Oryctolagus cuniculus: one gene and its partner. The protein of the gene in region 2 purifies or fractionates together with the protein of the main gene of each other region. This does not show direct contact. Links are inferred from orthologs where the notes say so. Each region holds a gene or a part of one and is shown on either strand. Other genes may lie near its edges.

Evidence for each region.
Region 1: the proteins of LIMK2 (region 2) and TTC1 purify together in Homo sapiens (affinity purification with mass spectrometry; 3 studies listed by BioGRID and IntAct, counting the BioPlex papers as one, with this or other methods). This does not show direct contact. The link is inferred for Oryctolagus cuniculus from reciprocal best matches to the Homo sapiens genes LIMK2 and TTC1.

Annotation. Positions count from the first base shown.
Region 1 is NC_091437.1:46,979,892-46,986,321, forward strand, and holds part of TTC1 (tetratricopeptide repeat protein 1), read left to right. Parts: intron 1-1,276; coding exon 1,277-1,337; intron 1,338-3,361; coding exon 3,362-3,474; intron 3,475-6,430.
Region 2 is NC_091452.1:24,429,189-24,434,670, forward strand, and holds the end of LIMK2 (LIM domain kinase 2), read left to right. Parts: intron 1-1,660; coding exon 1,661-1,805; 3' UTR 1,806-3,350; downstream 3,351-5,482. UniProt on the Homo sapiens protein: Serine/threonine-protein kinase that plays an essential role in the regulation of actin filament dynamics. Acts downstream of several Rho family GTPase signal transduction pathways.

The DNA.
Region 1 (6,430 bases), on a different chromosome or scaffold from region 2:
TAGAACCCGGTGTGCCGGCGCCGCAAGGTGGAGGATTAGCCTAGTGAGCCATGGCACCGACCACTAAATAACTATTAAATTACTTATCTCACAGGAAAAAAAAATAATTTACTTAGCCCTCATTTGCTAGTCCTTATATTGTTTTGCTTACATTATCACATTAGCTTATTAAACATTAATCCATAAAAGTGTTAATGAAGTTATATGAAGAAGCTAAAGCCCAGAATAATTCTGAAACTTGTCCATAATCATGCTGCTAACAAGTAGTAAAATCAGAACTTGAATATACACTGGTATCTTGCTTAGTTTCACTTTTGAACAAACAGACATTAAATGATGCTGAAATTACCATTCCATGCAAATGATAGGAACATAGGGAATAAAGGATATGACTAAGAAAACTTAAGTTTTGTGACTTAACCATCAAGAGTACAATTGATGATTAGCCAGATGACCTTTTTTTTTTTCTCCTATTACTATTCTTAAAGTTTAAGTAAAAATGACTTAGTTCTCAGAAGTTGAGTTGTGGAGTGGGTTTTGTGGCGCAGTGGGTTAAACTGTTTTTTGGGATGCCTACATCCCATATTGAAGTGCCAGTTCAAGTCCTGGCCACTCTTCTTTTGAACCACTTCCTGCTAATGCACACCCAGTAGGCATCAGATGATGGCTCAAGTGCTTGGAGCCCTATAACTCAGAGGTTGCAACCTGGATGGACTTTTTGGCTTCTAGCTACTGGCTTGGGCCTGCCCTAGCACCGGCTGTTGCAGGCATTTGGAGTATGAACCAGCAGATAGATGATCTCTCCCTTTGTCACTTTGTCTTCCAAATAGATGGAAACAAACTTTATTTTTTAAGATTTATTTTTATTTATTTGAAAGGCAGAGTTAGAAAGAGAGACAGAGAGAGATCTTCCACCCAACAGTTCACTCCCAAATGGCTGCAATAACTGGGCCTGGGCCAGGCCAAAGGCAAGAACTAGGAGCTTCATCTGAATCTCTCAAGTGGGGGCAGGGGCTCAAGCAGCACTTGGGCCATGTTATGCTTTCCCAGGCGCATCCAGTGATCTGGATTGGAAGTGGAGCCACCAGGATTCAAACAGGAACCCATATGGGATGCCAGCATTGCTATGCCACAACTCTGGCCTCTGAAAACAAACTTAAAAAAAAAAAAATCAAGTTGCTACCAATTAAATACACTTCTGTGATAAGAAAGCTGACCTTTTTGTTCACCTTTGATAATACTGTGAGAAATTATCTAATTCTTTGATCTGTTTCAGAGAAGAAGAGAAGAGAGCACTAGATTAAAGGAGGAGGGAAATGAACAGTTTAAGAAAGGAGGTAAGATTCTGCTTAGCACTGATGGCTGGTTACCTTGACTCTTCAACCTGTTTTTAGAGTCTGTCAACAAACACCAAAGAACATTTGGAAACAGCTAGCAGGCCTAAACTGTTCATGACACAGTATTGCTTCCCAGCTTCTTGGAGTCTTTTTCAATTACCATGTCCAAATATTTCTCAGCTGACTGTGACCAGCCAAAGTTTGTCTTTTCTATAATCCATTATTAATGCAGAAATCAAGGTAAACTCTTAAGCTATTGCCTTGTGAAAACACTATCCTTGAATGTTAAAAGGTTGGTTGTTTGCTGTACTCCTGTAAAGCAGAGTCGGCAATCCTCACTTGGTACAGTGCTGTGTGAAAACAGGCCTCATGGCTGCAGCAAGACCTAGGGAAGTCCTTTACTCGTTCTCTGATTGCTTTTTCCTGTTCCTTTTTCTTTGGATGCCTTAGGTAGACAGATGTTCTTCATCCCCTCTACATTTCCTACAGTTGGTTAGGAGTAAGTTGAGGTTCATCGCAATAATCGAAGGGAAACTATTTGATCTTCTAACATCTTTTTGTCACGTCTCAAAATGTATATGCTTCAGAAGAGATATAGGAGTGGGGAGGATGTTTGGCACAGCAGTTAAGATGCCTGCATTTCATAGCAGAGTACCTAGGTACCAGTCCCGACTCCACTCCTGATTCCAGCTTCCTGCTAACACACACCCTGGTAGGCATTAAGTGATAGCTCAAGAAGCTGAGTCCCTGCCACTCATATGGAAGATGTAGGTTGAGTTCCTGCCTCCTGACTTTGGTGTGGCCCAGCCCCAGCAGCTGGGGGGTTTGCAGGAGTAAATTAGCAGATGGGAGCTCATTCTCCGTTCCTCTCCCCGCCTCTTCCTCTCTCCTCCTTTCAAATAAATTAATTAAATTAAAAAGCCATGCCTTTAAATAAATCTATGAGTGTTAAAATTATCTCCTAGTTATTTTGCAGTTTTACATTGCCTTTGTTATATCCTGATTTAGCAGATATAGGTATTCTTTATGTAATAAAGCCTTGTAGTTCCAAATTTGAAAGCATATCCCTTTTTGTGTTAGTATTAAATATTTCAAAACTGAGAAAAGAATCACAGGCATTTTCTCTGAGTATACTTCTGCATATTATGAAGAATACATAGATTTTATCAGCATTTTCTGTTTCAAAGTTTTTAGCTAAGTTTTGATTTTTACATTGATGCTGTTAGGTCTGTAAAATGTCTCTGCAGATATTTCACAGATACCATTTCAGTCAAGTTGACTATATGAAAGCACAGTAATTTTAATGAAAGTACATACACAGAATTTGCCCAGGTCATGGATCTAAGACTTTTTTTTTTTTTTTTTAAGTTTGAATGGCAGAGAGTTAAGAGGGAAAATGACAGAACTCCTGTCTGCTTATTCACTTCCCAAATGCCTACAATGGCCTGGGCTGGGCCAGGTCAAAGCTGGGAGCTGGAAACCCAACCCTGATCTCCCACGTGAGTGGCAGGAACCCAATGATTTCAGCCACCACCATTGCTGCCCACCGTCTGCCTTAGTGAAAAGTGGAGTCAGGTATTGAAACCCAGTATTTTAATATGGGATGCATGCATCTCAATTGCTAGGTTAAATACCAACTGCAGATCTCAGACTTCAGTCTTTCGCATCTGTCCAATTCCTAAACTTCCTTGGGAAGCTCCTTTCTAGAATGACAAGGCAAAGGTGACCTGAGTATCTGTGGCATGCAAACTCTCGAGCACTGAGCTGTCTTCACTGACAGCATAGTTAGCTGTCAGTTCACCAGCCTTACTTCATGAGACTGGCACAAGCAAGCACTATTTCTTTAAAGGGAAAGGAAAGGGGGGGATGATTTTTACTGCCCCAAACTTAATAGACTGTAATACTTTTTGTTTGAAATCTTTGTCCTATGAATGGAAAGTGATGCATACTGAGATCCTATGGAATATAGTAGTGTCAGGAATTAAGTCAGATTGACTGCTCACCCTTTACCTTGTCATCCTCAGATTATATAGAAGCTGAAAGCTCATATAGTCAAGCCCTTCAGATGTGCCCATCCTGCTTCCAGAAAGACAGGTCTATTCTGTTTTCAAATAGAGCTGCGGCAAGGATGAAACAGGTATGAATGTTTGACCTTTTCTTTTTAAGAAGCATGTGAACTTGAACTGTTTCAGAAGGATAGTTTCTTTCCAAAAACTAGTGCAGGGTCTTCAGGTTACTAACCACCTTTTCCTGACCATGTATTTATTTCCCTGATGCAAAGGACATGCGCAAGACAGAAAAACATTTTGAAAAACTTGAGTGAAATTACTATTACTGCTCCCCACTATAGTAGCTGAGTGAATATGTTCAAGGAAGGAAGGCTCCAAGTTTCCACTAAACTGGGATAGATTAATGAGCAAGGAGCCAAGTAGTGCATTTCTCAAAATAGCTGCAGCTGCTTATTTTAGGCTTCTGGAATTCTAGATAAAGGCACAGGGAAACACTGAACAAAACTGTAGACTTACAGATGCTTGTTCCTAAGGTTCTGGTTTTTCTGTTAAATATTGCCCCTGAGATGAAAGGTATCCTTAAATGCAAAACAGATGTCAGGGAAAGTTCACAGCATTTTGTATTTCCATAGGATAGAGAATATGGTATAGAATGTGAAGTGGGTGATCGTGCAAATGCATTTGTTTTATGCCATATTGTTATTAAGGGTTAGATTTATTGCCGACTTGTCTGATTTTTCCAAGTCAACAAAGTCTTACTAGATTGAAATGATAAAAGTTTTAAGTACCTCGTGTTTACTTACAGCTACTTAATCCAAAATGCAAAGAGTAAGCTATTTAACCTTCCTCTAAGCAGCTATGAAGCTGGCTCAAGATTGGGTGAAGTGGTTTTTTGATACTGGTTTAGATCGGGTGTCTCTGTCTCTTTCTCTTTGATACTGCCCGGAATTCTCCAGTGCCTCTACCAATGAGTTTTTTAAAAAAGCAGGAGGTTGGGTGTGTACTTGCATGCTTAGACATGCAAAAACATTTGTGGTTTTCTTTTAACTGTGACTTAGGTATTATTGGATTCAATCTTTAAAGTGAAATATTTTTGAAGTGTTTCATGATATGAGAAAAATAATTTTACAGAATGTGTGAATGAGCATTTTGTATTAGGGAAAATAGAACAGTTGTTTTACATGAATTTAAAACAGTATTCATTAATGTAGTCTACAGCTAATGGAATTCATAGTTAACAGTTTTGACACAGGTGGAAAATTGTGAGCTGTTGCATTTGCTTCTCCATCTTGCCACATTCTCAGACTCTGGACCTTGTTGTTTGGGATCAAGTTTACAATTCATTGTCAGAGAAAATGTACCATATGCCTCTAGCTTCTGGAATTTAGGATTTTTTGTTTCTGCAATTGCCCAAGTTGTTGATAGTTTCAGGTTTGGGGACTAGCATAATAGACCTGTTCTTGAGTTAGACAAATATAAGTTCTTGCTAGTCTTTTGTCACATCCAAGGAGAACTCAAAAGAGCATTGCTCATGGACTGTTCATTGTGCTAAGGGTAGTTTTGTTTATTGAAGATAGAGTCTTGAAAACTTCCAGGATTAGTGCCTTATGTCAATTTAAGGAGCTTATTTGGGACTTTGCAGGGATGTGATGAGTTAACTGCTTTAAGAATTTCTGAAAGGCAGGTTTGCAGACTCAGCATCCCTGAATGCCCCAACCAAACTTCACGTTTTATATCTGGAGGGAGAAAAAAGCAAATGAGTATTAGCGCTGAGTTTCTGCCTCAGGTCTAGCTAGCAAAGTCCTAAAGAATAGCTTTAAAATTAATAGCTTTAAAAAAATAGTTTTAAAATTAATGTCTTCATATATCATGTGCATTGTTTTAAATGTGTGGATTTGTCCCGTAAGAGTATTATGAACATTTGTCTTTTCCTTATGTATTCTGTACATGTTTTTAATAGAGACATAAGTATCTATCTATAAATAGAAATTAAGGGGGCCAGGCTTGTGCTGTAGTTTGGTAAACTGTCCCCTGCAACACTGGCATCCCATATGGGCTCCAGTTTGAGTCCTGGTTGTTCCACTTCAGATGCAGCTCCCTGCTAATGCGCCTGAGAATGTAGTGGAGGACAGCTTGGGCCCCTGCACCCATGTGGGAATGAACCAGCAGATGGAAGATTGATTAATCTCTCTCTCTTCTCTTCCTCCCAACCCCTGTAACTCTGCCTTTCAAATGAATAAAATAGATTTATTTTATTTGAAAGGCAGAGTTACAGAGAGGCAGAGGCACAGAGAACAAGAGAGATCTTTCATCTGCTGATCTCACTCCTCAGATTGCTGCAACAGCCGGAGCTGGGCGGATCCAAAGCCAAGAGTCAGGAGCTTTCCTTGGGTTTCCTATTCAGGTGCAGGGGCCAAAGGACTTGGGCCATCCTCTGCTGCTTCCCTAGGCCATAGTATGGAGCTGGATCGGCAGTGGAGCAGCTGGGACTCGAACCGGCACCCATATGGGATGCTGGCACTGCAGGTGGCGGCTTCACCCACCACGCCACAGCACTAGGCCCTGAATAAAATAGATCTTTTAGAAAAATAGAAATTAAGATAAAAATGGTAAATAAGTTCTGATTTTTTTGTTTTATACATTCTAATTTGGGGACGTTCCCTTTCAGCAGCAGATAGCTTCTGAGTCCCCTGAGGTGTTAGTAGACTGTGAATCATAAAGAAAGTTTTCTTTAATAAAGCACCATAATTACTTGATTTGAACAACCGATTGGTAATAAGCTTTAATGACGCTAGAAACTATCTTTAGGTTGTGGTATAGTTTCTAGGGTCACAAAGAATACTACCACAACAGTTATACACATAAATTTTGAAGACTTATTCCTATTTCAGAAACTTCATGAAAGTGTGTCTTCCATTTATGGAAATTAGTAAGTTGAAAAAAATACTGAGTTGAAGTTACAGAGATTACTTACTACAGAACTTCTTAGAACTTTTTTTTTTTTTTTTACTTTATTCATTTATTTGAAAGGCAAAGTTAAAAAAGAGCAGGAGAGAGAGACACACACACACCTTCCATCCACTG
Region 2 (5,482 bases):
AGTGGAGGATGGCCCAAGTACTTGGGCCCTGCACCCCATGGGAGACCAGGATAAGTACCTGGCTCCTGCCATCAGATCAGCGCAGTGCGCCGGCCGCGGCAGCCATTGGAGGGTGAACCAACGGCAAAGGAAGACCTTTCTCTCTGTCTCTCTCTCTCACTGTCCGCTCTGCCTGTCAAAAAATTAAATTAAATTAAAAAAAAAAGAGGGAAAAAGAAGGGAAATTCAAACATTAGTAAAGCATATGGCACAGGAAATACAGGTCTCCTATAATCTCCGCTGCCGGTATGCGCCCCGATATTCTCACGCGCACTCCACTCTCCTGGGGTGAGCATTTGGCGCCTGATCTTTATTTAAAAGTGATTTCCAAAGGCCCACGTGAGAGTTGCAGTTCGGTGGTAGAAGAAGCTCCATCTCTGTGCTTTGTGGTCCCTCAGTGACCGCGGGGTAAGCACTAGTGGAAAAATCGGGAGACCGCACAGTACTTGTGTGCTGACATCCCTTCACAGGCATTCGAAATGTGTGCCTTTAACTCGCTTGTTAAAAATGCACTGAGTGCCAGCTGTGTGTCAGGTGCTTTTCCCAGCGCTTGGGTTACAGCCGTGAACAAAAAGCAGAGGTGCCTGCCTTCGCGAGCTCACGCCGGGGCAAGCAGACACGATCAACAGTGGACTAAGTAAACCGTAGTGAGCACTAGAAGGCGACCGAGGCTGTGAACGCCCAGCCGAGGAGAGAGGCTCGCTCAGGGTCCAGGTGGTGACTGGGGAGGTCGGAGTGGTTCTCACCCAGATGGCGCCATGTTTAAGCGAAAATGTGAAGGAAGGGAACGAAGAGCGAGACGAAGCCTGGGATGTGTTCGGTTCCAGGGCAGCCATGCCAGGGTCACAGCATTAGGAACCTGATGTTTTCGTTCTTTTTCTTTAAAAATATTTATTTTATTTATTTGAAAGTCAGAATTACACAGAGAGGAGAGGCAGAGAGAGAGGTCTTCCATCCGCTGGGTCATTCCCCAGATGGCCACAACGGCTGGAGCTGCACTGATCCGAAGCCAGGAGCCAGGAGTTTCTTCCAGGTCTCCCACACGGGTGCAGGGACCCAAGGACTTGGGCCATCCTCTACTGCTTTCCCAGGCCACAGCAGAGAACTGGATGGGAAGTGGAACAGCCGGGACTTGAACTGGCGCCCATATGGGAAACATGCACTGCAGGCGGCAGCTTTACCCTCTACGCCACAGCGCCGGCCCCAGGAACCTGGTGTTTTCATTCTCTTCTCAAAGAGCTGCCACATCCATAAAACGTCCCTCACACGGGGCAGCTCAGCTGGTGTGGAAACAACAAGCCTGGGGCCTGGAAAGGGACCTCCACAAAGGGACTCTTCCACTCCCACCTTGGACCATTTGTTTTCTGAGATGAGGGAGGGGCCTGCTTTTTGTTAAGTTCTCCCTCCAGCCAGGCCAGACTCCTCCCAGCGTTGCCTTTAGTCTTCACAGCAGCCCTGGGAGTCAGCAGTAGCCCTATGTTACTCCCACTTCCCAGGGAGGCACGAGGAAGTTACGGGGTTTGCAGGAGGTCATAGGACCAGGAAGTGAGTGAGCCGTGAGCCTGGCTCCCTCCCACTCCAGCCCACGGCCCTGCCTCTCATCTCCTCCCCTTCTTTCTAGGCCGGCCTTCTCAAAGCTGGAGGACTCCTTCGAGGCCCTCTCCCTCTACCTGGGGGAGCTGGGCATTCCGCTGCCGGCAGAGCTGGAGGAGCTGGACCACACTGTGAGCGTGCAGTACGGCCTGACCCGGGACTCGCCTCCCTAGCCCCGGGCCAGCCCCCTGCAGGGGGGCGTGCCCCAGCCCGCCTTGCCCCCTCTGCGCCCGACCCCTGCGGTGAGCAGGGCCGTCCTGGCTTCCTGTGGATTGGCGGCTTGTCTAGAAGCAGAACAAGCCATCCCTACTACCTCCCCAGGAGGCAAGCAGGTGCAGCGCCAGGGACGTGCACCTCCACAGGTTCCGGAGCCTGGTGGTCACTGTCGCTCAATCCAACACTCACCTCAAAGCTGTGAAGAAGAGACACGAGCCTGGACCGTGTGCCAGGAGGAATGTGTTACTTGGGACCACTCGGGGACTCCCTGGCCCTGGGATCCCGGGAGGCTCCTGCTTACACTAATCGGCATGACCTGGACCTGCTGGGCAGTGTCCCGGGGTGCAGGAGGACTTCAAGCGGGCGTGTGGACGAAAGACTGATGGCCGGTGGCACTGGAAGAGCGTGAGATGACAGTGGTGCTCCCCGTGTGCCCTTCAGGTCCTGCCCTCCCTGGGGCAGAGGGGAAGGGAGCAGGCCTTGAAGAGTCCCTTAGTCCAGTGGCCAGGAGGCAAGGATAGGAGGGCTGGTGTCTGCTCACCTGCCAGGGGGTGGCTCGCGCCAGCTCTGGGACCGTATCAAAGTGGGGGGAGAGTGGGGCTCCCACAGGCCAGGAACCAAACTCTACTGCTGGAGGCTGGCTGAGAAGTTTCTGGGTGACATCCTTTCTGTCTGCACCAAGCAAGTCACCCACGAGCACAGGAAGAGGCTGGGGGCCGGGAAGAAAGAGGCCCTGCCTCCTCAAAAGCCCATGTCCTAGCTCCTGTCACTCAGGCCTTGGTGGGCTCCTCAGGCAGACCCCTAAGACACACTGGCTGGAGCTGGATGGTTTCCGGAGGACAGCCTGGCTTGCCACAGGCCTGGAGTCTGAGGCTGGGGAGTGGGCGTCGGCAGTGTCACCCTTCTGTGTGCCTGGTCCAGGTAGCAGCTTGAGTTGTGAAGAGGGAGAGGCAGAGCCCCAGAGCTGAGATGCTGGGAGACAGCTCCCTGACTGGGCCTTCTACCTCCTTTGTTGGCTGGCCCAACTCACTAGCCGCTGGCCACAGCCCCCTGAGCCACCCTGCAGGACCAAGGGCACTGGACAGCCTGAGGTCCCCCACCTGGGCTCCCAGAGCTCCGGGCATTCTTCAGCATGACTTGGATTTGCCTCCTAAGTGGCTGTGAGCTTGCACCATATTTAACAAATCGGGAGTGGTTTGGGGTGGTTGTACTGTGGGGAGGGGGTGTGGCCCTGGAGAGTGGTTGCTGTTAATATTCCCTTGTCGTTCCATCTGGTGGGTGAGATGTGAAATGTTGTACATAGACCTGATGAGTGGTGGGATCAGGTGTCATCTCTGGCGATGCAGACTGCCCTTGCGTGTGCAGCTCGCAAGCTCGCGGCGGGTCGAGCCCGGGACTCGCAGCAGCAGCAGCCTGGCTCGGCCTCGTGTGGCAGCAAGCACGGGCCGGGTGGGCCTGAGCTGGGCCGCTGAGCAGACTAAATAAATCAAGCGGTTACCTGAGTGACGAGCCTGAGAGTGAAAAGGTGACTCGGAGGTGGCCCAGGCCACACAGCTGCCCACCACAGGCAGTGCTCGGGCACCCAGTGTCCTCCCCTCCTCCTCGTGCCACACACCAGCCCACGCCAGAAAATGTGGGATCCGGCTGAGGCAGCAGGTCTGCCCTCCTCGTGGCCAGGCTGCTCTTCCTTGTTCTGTCTCGGGCTGGGTCCTTCCTCTCAGCCCTGCACTCTGACCTCTGACACAGGAGCACTTCTCCAGCCCGGGCCTCCTGGCTCTCTCTCCACAGGGCTGGGTTCACCCTTGCAGTGGGGAGAAATGAATGCAGGTCAGCCCACCCCAAGGGTGGGCGTGGAGAAGCCCCGCTGCTCGTGCCTTCTGCGTACAGCAGGACGCGGAGTGACCACTGGGCGGGATGATGCCGTCTGCCTAGCTGGGGGTCGTGGGCACAATATGAACCCATAAACCTAAAGGTAATTCCTCTCAAGCACTCCCGGGGCTTGAGGGATCCAGGACAAGAGCAGAACTTGGTTCCTGAAAATCCTGATGATCTGGGGGTAGTGGTGGAACTATAGAGCGATGGCTGGGCACAGGCACAGGTCACCCTGCGGATTCCTGGCGGCTCAGAACCAACTGTCCTGGAGCCCTGGGAATCGGCCTGCGGGGACCTCCCTCAGCCCCTGGCTGCTGCGGTACCGTCCCCGACCCCAGCCCTGACACGGGCTGTGACCTCACTCCCCCTCGGGGAGAGCTTGGCGATGACCGCTCGCCGTCTTGGGATGCCCACCCACTCGTGCTTCCTGTGGCCCACCCACTCGTGCTTCCGACCTGGGAGATTCCTGCTGAGAGCGGCGACCAGGAAGCAGAGTCTATCAACGGCTGCCGCCCTCGGGTTCGAGAGCCTTCCAGTTTCTGGTCTAGGGTGAGCAAAGAGCAGGCCAGCGCTTGCCGCACAGGCTTTGATGAGGTGACCTGAAGCTTCCTAACTTACAGGGGGAGTGCTTGTGGCACTCAAAAAAAACCCAACAATGTTGTGTTTTTGTTTGTTTTTAATATAAGTCCGATGCAGAGCAACTTCTCGTACTTTATACGCAGGTGTCAGTATGAGGTATATAAAACGTGTACAGAGAAACGCTGTTATAGAAAAGTAGAAACCAGTAATGTTCTCTACTCCAGCATCATGAACACCAGGGGACCCCCTGAGGTCTAGGCCCCCTCAGCAGATGGTTCCCGGGAACAGTCTGCTGGGGGGGCTCCACTCACCCCCCTCTCCACTTCGGGCAGTAGAAGGGCTCTGGGAAGGAAGCCCTGTGGCTAGGGAGCACGGCCAGGGCCTCCAAGTGTGACGTCAGGACTTGGAGGGCCCGCCGAGCCCCTAGCACAGTGCAGCACAGTGCATTGGAGAAATGTTGGCGCTCGGTCAGGCAGCCGGGCTCCCCTCTCGGCCGTGCCAGGAGCCTGCTCTCTGACCTTGGGCGAGTCGCTCCTCCCTCCCTGTGTCCAAAAGGCTTGAAGAACCCTACGGTCCTTTCCGATGGCTCCACAGTTGTTCTGCAGGTTAGGGGATCTGACCCTAGCCCCACTGCCCCATAGGAAGGCACTGGCCTGGAGGCCACAGGGCCACCTCCAAACTCGGGCCCACTGCACAGCAAGCCCGGAAATGCTTTGTTAACCTTGCTCTCCAAGTTTACTTCTCAGAAGCGGGTCACAGGGCCCACAGTGCGATTCTCATGGGTTAGCTGGCTGCTCTCTTACCCGTACAAAATGAGGTCACTGCCCAACCCTGCCGGGACGCTGTCTGGGCACCTCAGGTCCACCTCTGCCCCTGTGGCCTATGGCAGGAGCAGACCCTTCTCTGCCTTCTTCCTAAGTGGAATGTTTAGTGCAATTCTTCCCTTCCTTCCCTTAGGAAACAAGGAAGGGTCCCTGGGCCCAGGCCCGGCCCACAGTTGTCAAGGCACATCACTGCTAGCAAGCTGGAGCACACCCAACAGCCCCCAGCCCAGATCCTGTCCTCAGCCCACAAGCTCTGACTTCTGTACAGACCCGTTTCCGGTTCTCAGAGGTCAGCAGGGAGTTCCATCCTGAATATTTTCAAGACTAAATATATTTTTTTCAGTGCCACTGCCTCTTGG